Ovis aries: one gene and its partner. The protein of the gene in region 1 binds, or shares a complex with, the protein of each later gene. Links are inferred from orthologs where the notes say so. Each region holds a gene or a part of one and is shown on either strand. Other genes may lie near its edges.

Region 1 (4,409 bases):
CTACCCTCTGCGAGCTCCTGCCCTCCCAGGCCGCTTCCTTCCTGGTTTCTCCGAGAAAAACGAAGTTACTTTTCTTTCCCTGCAGAGCTAGAGCCGTCTTCGCCCGGAGAGGTTGCAGGGGCCCCTCGGGGATGAGCGCGGGGCGCTGGACGCGGTGGAACGAGAGGGGGCGTGCCAAGCAGCCCAGAGTGTGCCGGGAGCGCGGGGGAGGGGAGGCGCCGGGCACGTCAATGTCACGGCTTAATATTTCCCTGTATCATTGTGTTGCGCTGCTCCGCTCCCTGCCTGCCGGGCCTGGACGTCAGGGGACAGGGGCTCCATGGGTGCCGTGGGGGCGTTCTGGGGTCGTGCGCAGCCTGGTGTGGACAGACCTCGGGTCCGCCTGAGTGCGGCCGCAGAATGTGGGTGGGGGCTCCCAGGACCTTTGTAACCCGATGCTGCGAGTGTGCGAGAAGGGGTGGTCAGACATCTGCTCGGAAATTGCTTCCTTTCTTTCTACTTTCAGTTTTTCTACGAGGAGACATTTAAAAACGACACACAAATGGTCTTTTTAAGGTAAAAGAGTCTGGGTTGGAAACGGAATCCTTCCTCTTACTTGGGAAGACCTCCCTGGTGGAAACCCATCAGATCCGAGAGGGCGGGAGCTCCCGCTACTCCGGAGTGGGTGAGCGATGCCTCCCCCCGCGGTGTGGCGGCGGGGGCGAGGGGGCGGGTGAAGTCGCCTACGGAACCCTAAGAATGGGATAAAGAGGTGCTCGCCGCACTTCAGCTTGTCGTCTCCTTGGAGAACAACTTCAGAAGCAAAGCGGCATAATCGTCACTTGCCTTGAATTTTTCAACCGATTGCAACCTGAGCAAAACTCAGCTTCCCCTTAAATAGGGTGAGGGGTGGGGGGAGTAAAGGCTGAGCCTCCAGGGGAAAGCGAAAAGGGGTTGCGCCCCCGGGGCCAGGACTCGAGAACCTTTCCCCACTCCCAGGGTTGTTCCCGAAGTAGGTAGCAGAGGTTGCTCCACTCCCCTTCCAGTTTAAGGTCGGATCCGAATAGCAGCCAGTGACCCCCGGAGCTCACCCCACACACACAACAAAGCGGCGAAGGGGGGGGGGGGTCGCACTCTTCTTTCCCATTCAAGCTGCAATCCAGGACCCAGGGGACCTCTGCTCCACCAACGCTGTGGCCTCCGCCGGACATTCGCCGCTCCGACTGCTTGTCCGAAATTCCCCGGAGCTCCTCGGAATTACCTGCCCCGCAACCTCTGGCTCGCTCGCCTTCCGCCAGGAATTAAAGATACAGACTGCGCGACCCTTGCGGTCTGCGGGCGGAGGGGACCGCGGAGAGCACCGGGCCCCTCACACTCTCTCCATTCAAAATTCTCCTTAAAAGGTGAAGGCCAGTCCTGGGTAAGGGGGCCGAGGAACGAGCCCCCTGAGCCAAGGAACCAGCGGTCGGAGCCAGGCCGAGGGCCACACAGGTAGCGGAGGAGCCGCGGCGAGCGGCGCCGCCCGCCCCCTCCCGCAGGCCCCCTCCCAGCCCCAGTCCTGCCCGCCGCCCGGCGGCGAAGGAAGCGGCGGGGACGTCCCACCCCCGCAGGGAGCTGCGCCCGCCGCCCCCGCCGGGCCCCGCACCGCCCGCCCCGGCTCTCCCCCCTCGCTCCCCGGACTGTCGGCTCCGGCGGAGAGAAACGGGAGCAGCCGTGCCTCCCCCCGTCCCCCGCCCCGTCCACTTTTTTTGTTGTTGTTGTTGCTTTCCCACGCTGGCTGAATGTGACTTGACCCCATTTCAAAAAAGTTTGACAGAGTGCTTCAACATTTCCGCATTCCTCCGCGACTACAAAGGCTGCAGCCGCCTCCTTCTGCTTTCTGTCTCTGCTCTCTGTCTTCACACTCAATGAAATCCTTCATGTGCCTCTCCCGAAGCCTGCCAAGCACCGCAAGGGTCGCCACCACCGCGGCGACCAGAGGCCGCCCCGGGGGACCACGACTCCCGCGTGTACACACACGCAGATGCGCCCACGTGCACACTGACGGGCGCGGGGCTCGGGCCAGGAGGTGTTCACCCCGGGGGCGTGCGTTTTAACGATATTTTAAATTAGGAAAGTAAACTAGGAAACTAAAGCAAGCGTCCATCCTTGCGGGGGGACTTCCAGCCTGGGCACTGGCCGCCGGCGTGTACTCCTCTCTTAAGTGCAGAACACGCCCGCGGGGGCTGCCAGCAAGAAGTCTGCGTTAACATTTATCTCGCGGTGGGGAAGGTGGAGCTCACACCCACACCTCGGCGAGATGGAGGGGGAGCTTTCGTGGGGAAATAAATACAAGGCACCGAAACACATTCTCTCCCGCGTGAGGTTCCCCAAAGCAGTGCATTTTAAACCCTGAATGTAAATTTCTCGGTGAGTTTCCCAGTGGAGCCTGAGTTCCGTTTGAAGGACTGGATAAGAAGTGTTTGTGTGGGTGTTTGTGCGCAAGGCTGTGTGCGAGCAGGCACAGGAGCTCGGCGTTGGGGGGAGTCCCTCGTGTGGGATGTTTCCCTCTAGTCAGATTAGGAGAAACTCCTGTAGCTCCCCCGAAACTGGCCCCTGTAACCACCCCTCCTCGGATCGTAAGGGGTTAACCAAAGCCGATTCCCAGAACCTACCGCCCCCCCTCCCCGCCCCAGTCACCCCCACCCACCCTAGCCGCCGACCCCGGGCCAAGCCCCCAAGTCTTCCCCAAGGACCACCCCCCCACCCTGCACCCTGCCGCCCACCCACCAGAGCGCACAGCGCCTCACCTGAGGGGCCCGGCCGCGGCGGGCCTCGCGAGGGGGCTGCGGGGACCGGTCGACCTTCGCACGTGTCCGCCGCGGCGCGGAGCAGGTAAACCGGCTCGAGGAAGGAGTTAGCGGCGCTCGCTCGGGCGAGGGGGTGGGCACTGCGGCGGAGGGCGGAGGGACGGCGGAGGGCGCCGCCCGCGCGGCGCGCTGGGGGCGGACGGAGGCCGCGGGGCTCCGGCCCGGGCTCGGGGCCCGAGCCGGGGAGGCGGCGGGGGCGGGGTGGGGGGCCCTGGAGGCCGGCGGCCCGCGACCCTCCCGGCGGCCGGGTGGGGGGCTCGCCGCTCAGTGGCCAGCGAGTGTGCAAATTAAAGCCTTCCGGAGAGAGGGGAGGCGGCCGAGCCCCGGCTGTGCTCTGAGCCTCCGGCTCCCCGGCTCTCCGCTCCGAGTGGGGGGCGAGAAAGAGGGGGGAGCTAAATGAAAATTTCCGGCTTTCGCTGCAACTGGAGTGGGGTGACTAAAATAGGAGGCGTGAGAGGGAGAGTGGGATGTGTGGTCGGCAGTCGGCTGAGTTACCAAACCGAGGGTCGCCCAGAGTTGGGGTTTTTGACAGAGTGAGGCAGGCGGGGGGTTTCAGCAGTCAGTGATGTAGACAGATGGGGAAAACACAAAACGACCGATAATAGTCATGAGGGGCCGGTGGGGATGGTAAATACTAACACTTTTCAAGAAACTGAAAAGTCAGATCAAAAAATAACTTTATTTAAAAAAATTGGCAGGACGCCTTGCAGAAAAGAAAATACTAATCTGTCCAAGCACTTTTCACTTTCAGCATGAGCTACATTTGTTTTGTTTTCCTTCGCTTCCTTTCGGCCTCACAAAGCCCTATCTTTTCCTTTTGGACGGAGGATATGATTTGGAAATTGTCTGGCACTCTTGTGGTTAACGATCTACTTGAAGGGGCTGGCCGGCTCACAGTTATTAAGTGATTAGTAACTGCCGAGGGTTCACTAAGGTATTTCTGTGGAGGTAAAAAGCCTAAAATTGACTTTAAGTAACAGAACAGCAAGATAATAGACACACGCACACACACACAAAGAAGAGAGAACACGATTCGATGGGTGCTTACTTTAAATGCATTACTGGACTTCTGAAATTTGAAACTTTGTAAGAATGTATACTTTACCTGCTGAGAAAACCTCAATATTTCAGGTGAAAATTAGATTTTGGAGGAAAAGAAAAGTCTTCTAGACTTTTACAATGAAGTAAAACAAAACTTAAAATGACTATTTTTTTGGAAAGAATTCAATATTATCCAAAATCTCTATCTGTAAAATACTTGAAACCCTTTGAAATATCTTAATGCAAACCCTAAAAAAAATGTTATTTATTTCAGGACTCTGTGTAAAAATTAAAACCCAGAAAAATTCTGTTTGAATGAAAAATACTACCACTATAAATCTGTTGACATTTTGAATTAAACTATTTTGCTAATTTCACAGTAGATCAAAATTTTGCTTTATAAAATTGATTCTATAGTATAATGTGAAGTAACAGGTTAGGTAAATAAAAATTGTTGCATTTTCATTAGCAAATATTTTGCAAGGTATTATAATAATTTATTCTTAAAAAATAAAGTGTGTGTTTTATGCTTAAGATAGT
Region 2 (4,509 bases), on another chromosome or scaffold:
GCCAAGGAATGTTGACTGTCACTAAATGTTGGGAGAGGCAAGGAAATGGATTCTTCCTTAGAACTCCCAAAGGGAATGCAACCTTGTGGACCCATTTTAGAATTCTGATTTACAGAACCATAAGATAATAAATTTATGTTGATACTAAATTTGTGGTAATTTGTTATAGCAGAAATAGGAAGACACCTTCCAAGATCACACTCAGACTTCATTAAAGAGGAGGTGCTCACTTCATTTGGTTCCTAAATAATCTTTGATGATACAAGAGCATTACCAAAGAGGAATTTTGAAATATTGTTCACAATCACAGCAACTTTGCAATTTGAGTGTTATACATTGGGTGGAGGTGATAGAACATTCTTTTTTAGGGTAACCATTATTTGGTTACATTAGCTACACTATATTGAGGAATTATTTATTTTTAGTTGAGTTCTGTATTAAACTTGAATTAATTTGTTCAAACCAAGGAATCTTAACAAGTTATACTATGCTTGTTGAGTTCTATCCTAGAGAAAGTGAAACTGATTTAATTAAAAAAAAAAAAAAAACCACAGAGAAAATTTAAGTGAACCAACTTGCAGCTACAAAAAGGAAAACTAACAGTGCATTAGAAGAAAGAATTTTTTAAAATAAAAACTGGGGAAATTTACACTATTGGATTTCTCATGGATTATGAATTAATTTCCAAAACAAAGGGGCCACACCCAAGGACACCATAATCTTTTGGAAACTCTACTATAAGTGCCAGAGCTCATATATATATATGTATGTCTCCTTCCATGCTTGTATATAATGCAGGTGAAAATATATTACATGGGTTGGATAAATGAAGTCCTTGGTCTTAGTCATTAAATTGGTTAAAGGTATTATTATATGCTACAGTATTAAAGTATGAAAAGTAACATAATATTTAAATCATAGTAGCAATCCAAAGCAAAAAGAAAATCATTCAAATGAATATTTCTAGGGTACTTAAGTCAAACTGAAGATATAAATTTAATTTAGTCATTAAAATTTTTCTATAAACTAAGTATTTTTAAACACAAATTTGGTTAGGGTTCAAAACTAAAATCATATCCCTTTTGTCGATGCCCTTATCCTATTTAAAAATAATTTAAAATTAATTATCTTTCTTTTTGTATTTAAACAATAAAGTCTAATATAACATCTTTCAGAACTAGAAGGCTGTAACACCCAGTCTGCAAACTGCTGGCAAAACTTTAGAGATATCCAATTATGAATCATGCATGCATTTTTTAAAAAAAGAACTCATGCTTCTCTTCTACAACCATTCAACCTTTTAATCTCCAAATCTCTCCACATTTCAAATCCCAAATAATCTCAGATTTGAGGATATTTTATTTTTATTTTTGTATCTAAAAGTATATAAAATATATCTGTTCTATGTAGCATAGTTTGAGGAAAGGACGATTCGCTTGTGAAATCACTTGTTAAGTTCCAGGTTGAGTTACTTTTCCTTTGTCTTGTTATGCTGGAGTTTTTGCAGTGTACATTTCATATAAATATTATTTTTCAGAATCAGAAATCGTTGTCGAAACCTGGAATAAAACTGGAGTGACTGCCAGGAAGAATTTATTTTTAGCCCCAGATTTAGGAAGTTAGTGAAGGCAAAACACACACACACACACACACACACACACACACAGAAAAACGAACTCACAACTCATCCTCACACATACAAAACTGGAGTGGGGAGAGGAGAAATGACATTTTTTAAACTATGAGGAACTGAAAACTTCCCAGGAAATTAATGTATACCAAGTAAGTTTAAAATACCCCAAAAGGTAAGAGACACTCAAGTGGTAACTAAATTGGCAGCATTATTTCAGGCATAATTGCACTAATTTTTTTTTTCATGTATGTCTATTTCCTAAACAAGCATATATGTTCCTTACTCGGTTAAAAAAAAATAATAAACACGATATATGGTTGCTTCTGAATAATTTCAATCGACCTTTATTCCAACTTACACAGCAGTAGATTTCCACTGAAATCTCCCTCTCACCGCCCCTCCCCCCCCAACAAAGAAGTCGATCAGCTCCATTCACAATTTTATAAGTTCGGGAGTAAGTGGTCCAGCATGTCTTACTGTCTTTATACTCGTACTCCAGACGTTCGTCAATTTCGCATATCGGTCTATATTAACACACGTAGGTTCTCCCTTCTAGATCTTCACACCGTTTTAGAGATCTGAACCCCACGCGCCTTCTCAGCCAGCTCCGCGGCCGTCCTGAGCCCCCTGAGAGTCGCCGAGAGGTCTCCGATCCCGAACTCGGTCTGAAAAGTCTCCCCTTTACCAAGAAACGCTTACCTGGTTCCGACTCACTGGCGGACCTCGTCCTCCAAAGCCTCTCGCCATCCACCCACCCACCCAGCCGCCCACCTTTCCGCGGCAGACCTGCTGACCCACCTGAATCGCGCTTCGACCGTAACGGTTCGGCGCGTTGGCCAACGCTCCAGCCTCGAGCAGTGCCCGTACCTCGTCAGCCCGGCCCCGCGCGGCGGCGGCGGCCAGCAAGTCAGCCGAGGTCTCCATGCTGCTCCCCAAAGCTCGCCCCTCGCTCCCTCCCTTCCTCCCGCCTGCGTCGAGCGCGGGCGGCCCGCCCAGGCTGCTCCTGAGCAGCCCGCCCCTCCTCTTTCCTCCTACGGGGCTGGCGGAAGCGGCCCCCAGACTCGGCCCCTCGACTCCTCCCGAGGAGTCTTTCCACCCGGGGAGCGCCCTCCACGCGCTCTTCCAGGAGGCGCCCTTTGCTCCTAACGAACAAGACGTCTATGAAGTAGCCCCCGCCGGGCCTCCTCGGTCACAGGTCTGCCGCCCACGCGACCCGAGGCACCGGCCGGAAGCTGTCCGCTCCGGTAGCGCGACGGGACCGCGAAAGGAGGGCGCCCTGGGACCTCCTCCCCGCCCCCCGCCCCGCGTCCGCGCGCAGCGCGCCCCCACCCCCATCAGAGGCGCACGCGCGGCTCCGAGCGAGTTCACTCCAGCCAAGTGAAAATTCCTCGCGTATACACCCTGAGTGGCGTGAGACAACTGCATAGGATTCCTAACTGCCAAGTTCGAACCAGTGTGTTTGGAGTCATAGGCAAAGTTATTGCTTCCTCTTTTAATCAGAAGAAACAGCCAGCTTGTCCTGGCCCCGAGCGCCCAGGATAGGTATCAGCCATTCCACCATGAGGCTTTCCTTCTTGGAGAGGATACACTCCCCCTCCAACGCTCAGCACCAGGTTTTCGAGCGCTGGCTCGATTATGCCAGAAATTCTAGCTCAAACGTCCCTTCTGGAGAACTGGCTCACGCGCCAGGCTGTGCCTCCCTCCCTCCACACACATGTAAAACGGATGTCGGGGGAGAGCGTTTCCTAGGCTTGCACAATGCCTGGTACTAGTGCCCAGTATACGGGCTGGCTCCGAGCAGATGAGGTCAATTTAAAAGGGATGGTGGAGATTTCTACCTGTACGCAGATAGGAAAGTGGCAAGGGTATCCTTGGGCTTAGTAGGCTCTGTTCTCAATAATTTCTCCTACACCAGAAAACATGCTCATTGCTCTAGGGACAGGGCTGCATTCGGAGATGATTCAGAAAGCAGGCTCACACACTGTCTTGGTGCCACTTCTGTCCACCTTTCCTTCCTGTTAGAAAAACCTTACACTTTTCTTAGTTATAAAATGGAGGGGGGAATAAGAGGTGTCCCTACTTCCTAGGACTGTTTTGAGTTTTAAATGAATTGATACACACATAAGCATTTAGAACAGTATCACACATCCTAAGCTCATGCCTGTTAGCTCTTAACATCCATTTTGAAGATTTTCTTGCAATCTAGGAGACAGAGAAGGAAATGGTTTAGGTAGAATTATCAATATTACATATAAAAGGGCAGGCAAGAAAACCTTAATCACTGAAACAATGATGGACATCTTCCAGTGACCGACATATTTAATGAAAAGTTAATGTTTAATCTGTCTGCTAGATAACCCAGCTCTGTTTTAAAAGTTATATTTCAATTCCTACTTGACTCCTCTTGAAGACCCATAATACTTGACTATACTTTCAGTGGCTGTTAGTTTAGGCAACACATGAGGTTTTAAATAATGACAATTAAAACACTTATGGGACTGGGAAGTCAAGTCCATTATAAAATCCACAATGCATCACTGTGTTATGTATATTTTCCTCCAGGCACCTCTCAAGTATGAGAGCAACAATGATGTGGAAATGTAAACATCTTCTAATGTTGCTTAAGGTATTGTATGATAGAGGAGGGGAAAACAGCAGTTGTGGTAATGAGATGGAGGGAACAGATTTCCCTTGTAATATGTCTGGCTTTTTAGACTAATATCAAAATTAAATTAAACCATTAAAAATAATGGTTCTTAATCTTAGGGCAGGGAGAATAAGCTGTTGAAAGCTATATACCCTCTCCTCCAAAAATAAAATATGCAATTTTATTTAAAAAGTGTGTTCACTGGCACATGTAACTTTTAGGGAATTCA

What was found.
Region 2: the proteins of CDK6 (region 1) and cyclin-dependent kinase inhibitor 2A are in contact, whole or in part, in a crystal structure (PDB 1BI7), measured with the Homo sapiens proteins. The link is inferred for Ovis aries from reciprocal best matches to the Homo sapiens genes CDK6 and CDKN2A. Residues at the interface, in NP_001138778.1 of Homo sapiens: Glu14, Cys15, Val16, Ala17, Glu18, Ile19, Phe28, Lys29, Arg31, Leu33, Asn35, Gly36, Gly37, Arg38, Phe39, Arg44, His100, Asp102, Gln103, Asp104, Thr106, Thr107, Asp110, Lys111, Gln149, Thr154, Ser155, Leu166, Ala167, Arg168; in NP_000068.1 of Homo sapiens: Thr18, Ala21, Arg22, Gly23, Arg24, Glu27, Asn42, Tyr44, Arg46, Gln50, Val51, Met52, Met53, Met54, Gly55, Ser56, Arg58, Asp74, Ala76, Thr77, Thr79, Asp84, Arg87, Glu88, Gly89, Phe90, Asp92, Asp108, Trp110, His123.

What each region holds. Positions count from the first base shown.
Region 1 is NC_056057.1:10,942,634-10,947,042, forward strand, and holds the start of CDK6 (cyclin-dependent kinase 6), read right to left. Parts: upstream 2,911-4,409; 5' UTR 2,769-2,910; intron 162-2,768; exon of another isoform or gene 5-161; intron 1-4. UniProt on the Homo sapiens protein: Serine/threonine-protein kinase involved in the control of the cell cycle and differentiation; promotes G1/S transition. Phosphorylates pRB/RB1 and NPM1.
Region 2 is NC_056055.1:90,755,815-90,760,323, forward strand, and holds the start of cyclin-dependent kinase inhibitor 2A, read right to left. Parts: upstream 2,887-4,509; 5' UTR 2,558-2,886; coding exon 2,432-2,557; intron 1-2,431. UniProt on the Homo sapiens protein: Acts as a negative regulator of the proliferation of normal cells by interacting strongly with CDK4 and CDK6. This inhibits their ability to interact with cyclins D and to phosphorylate the retinoblastoma protein.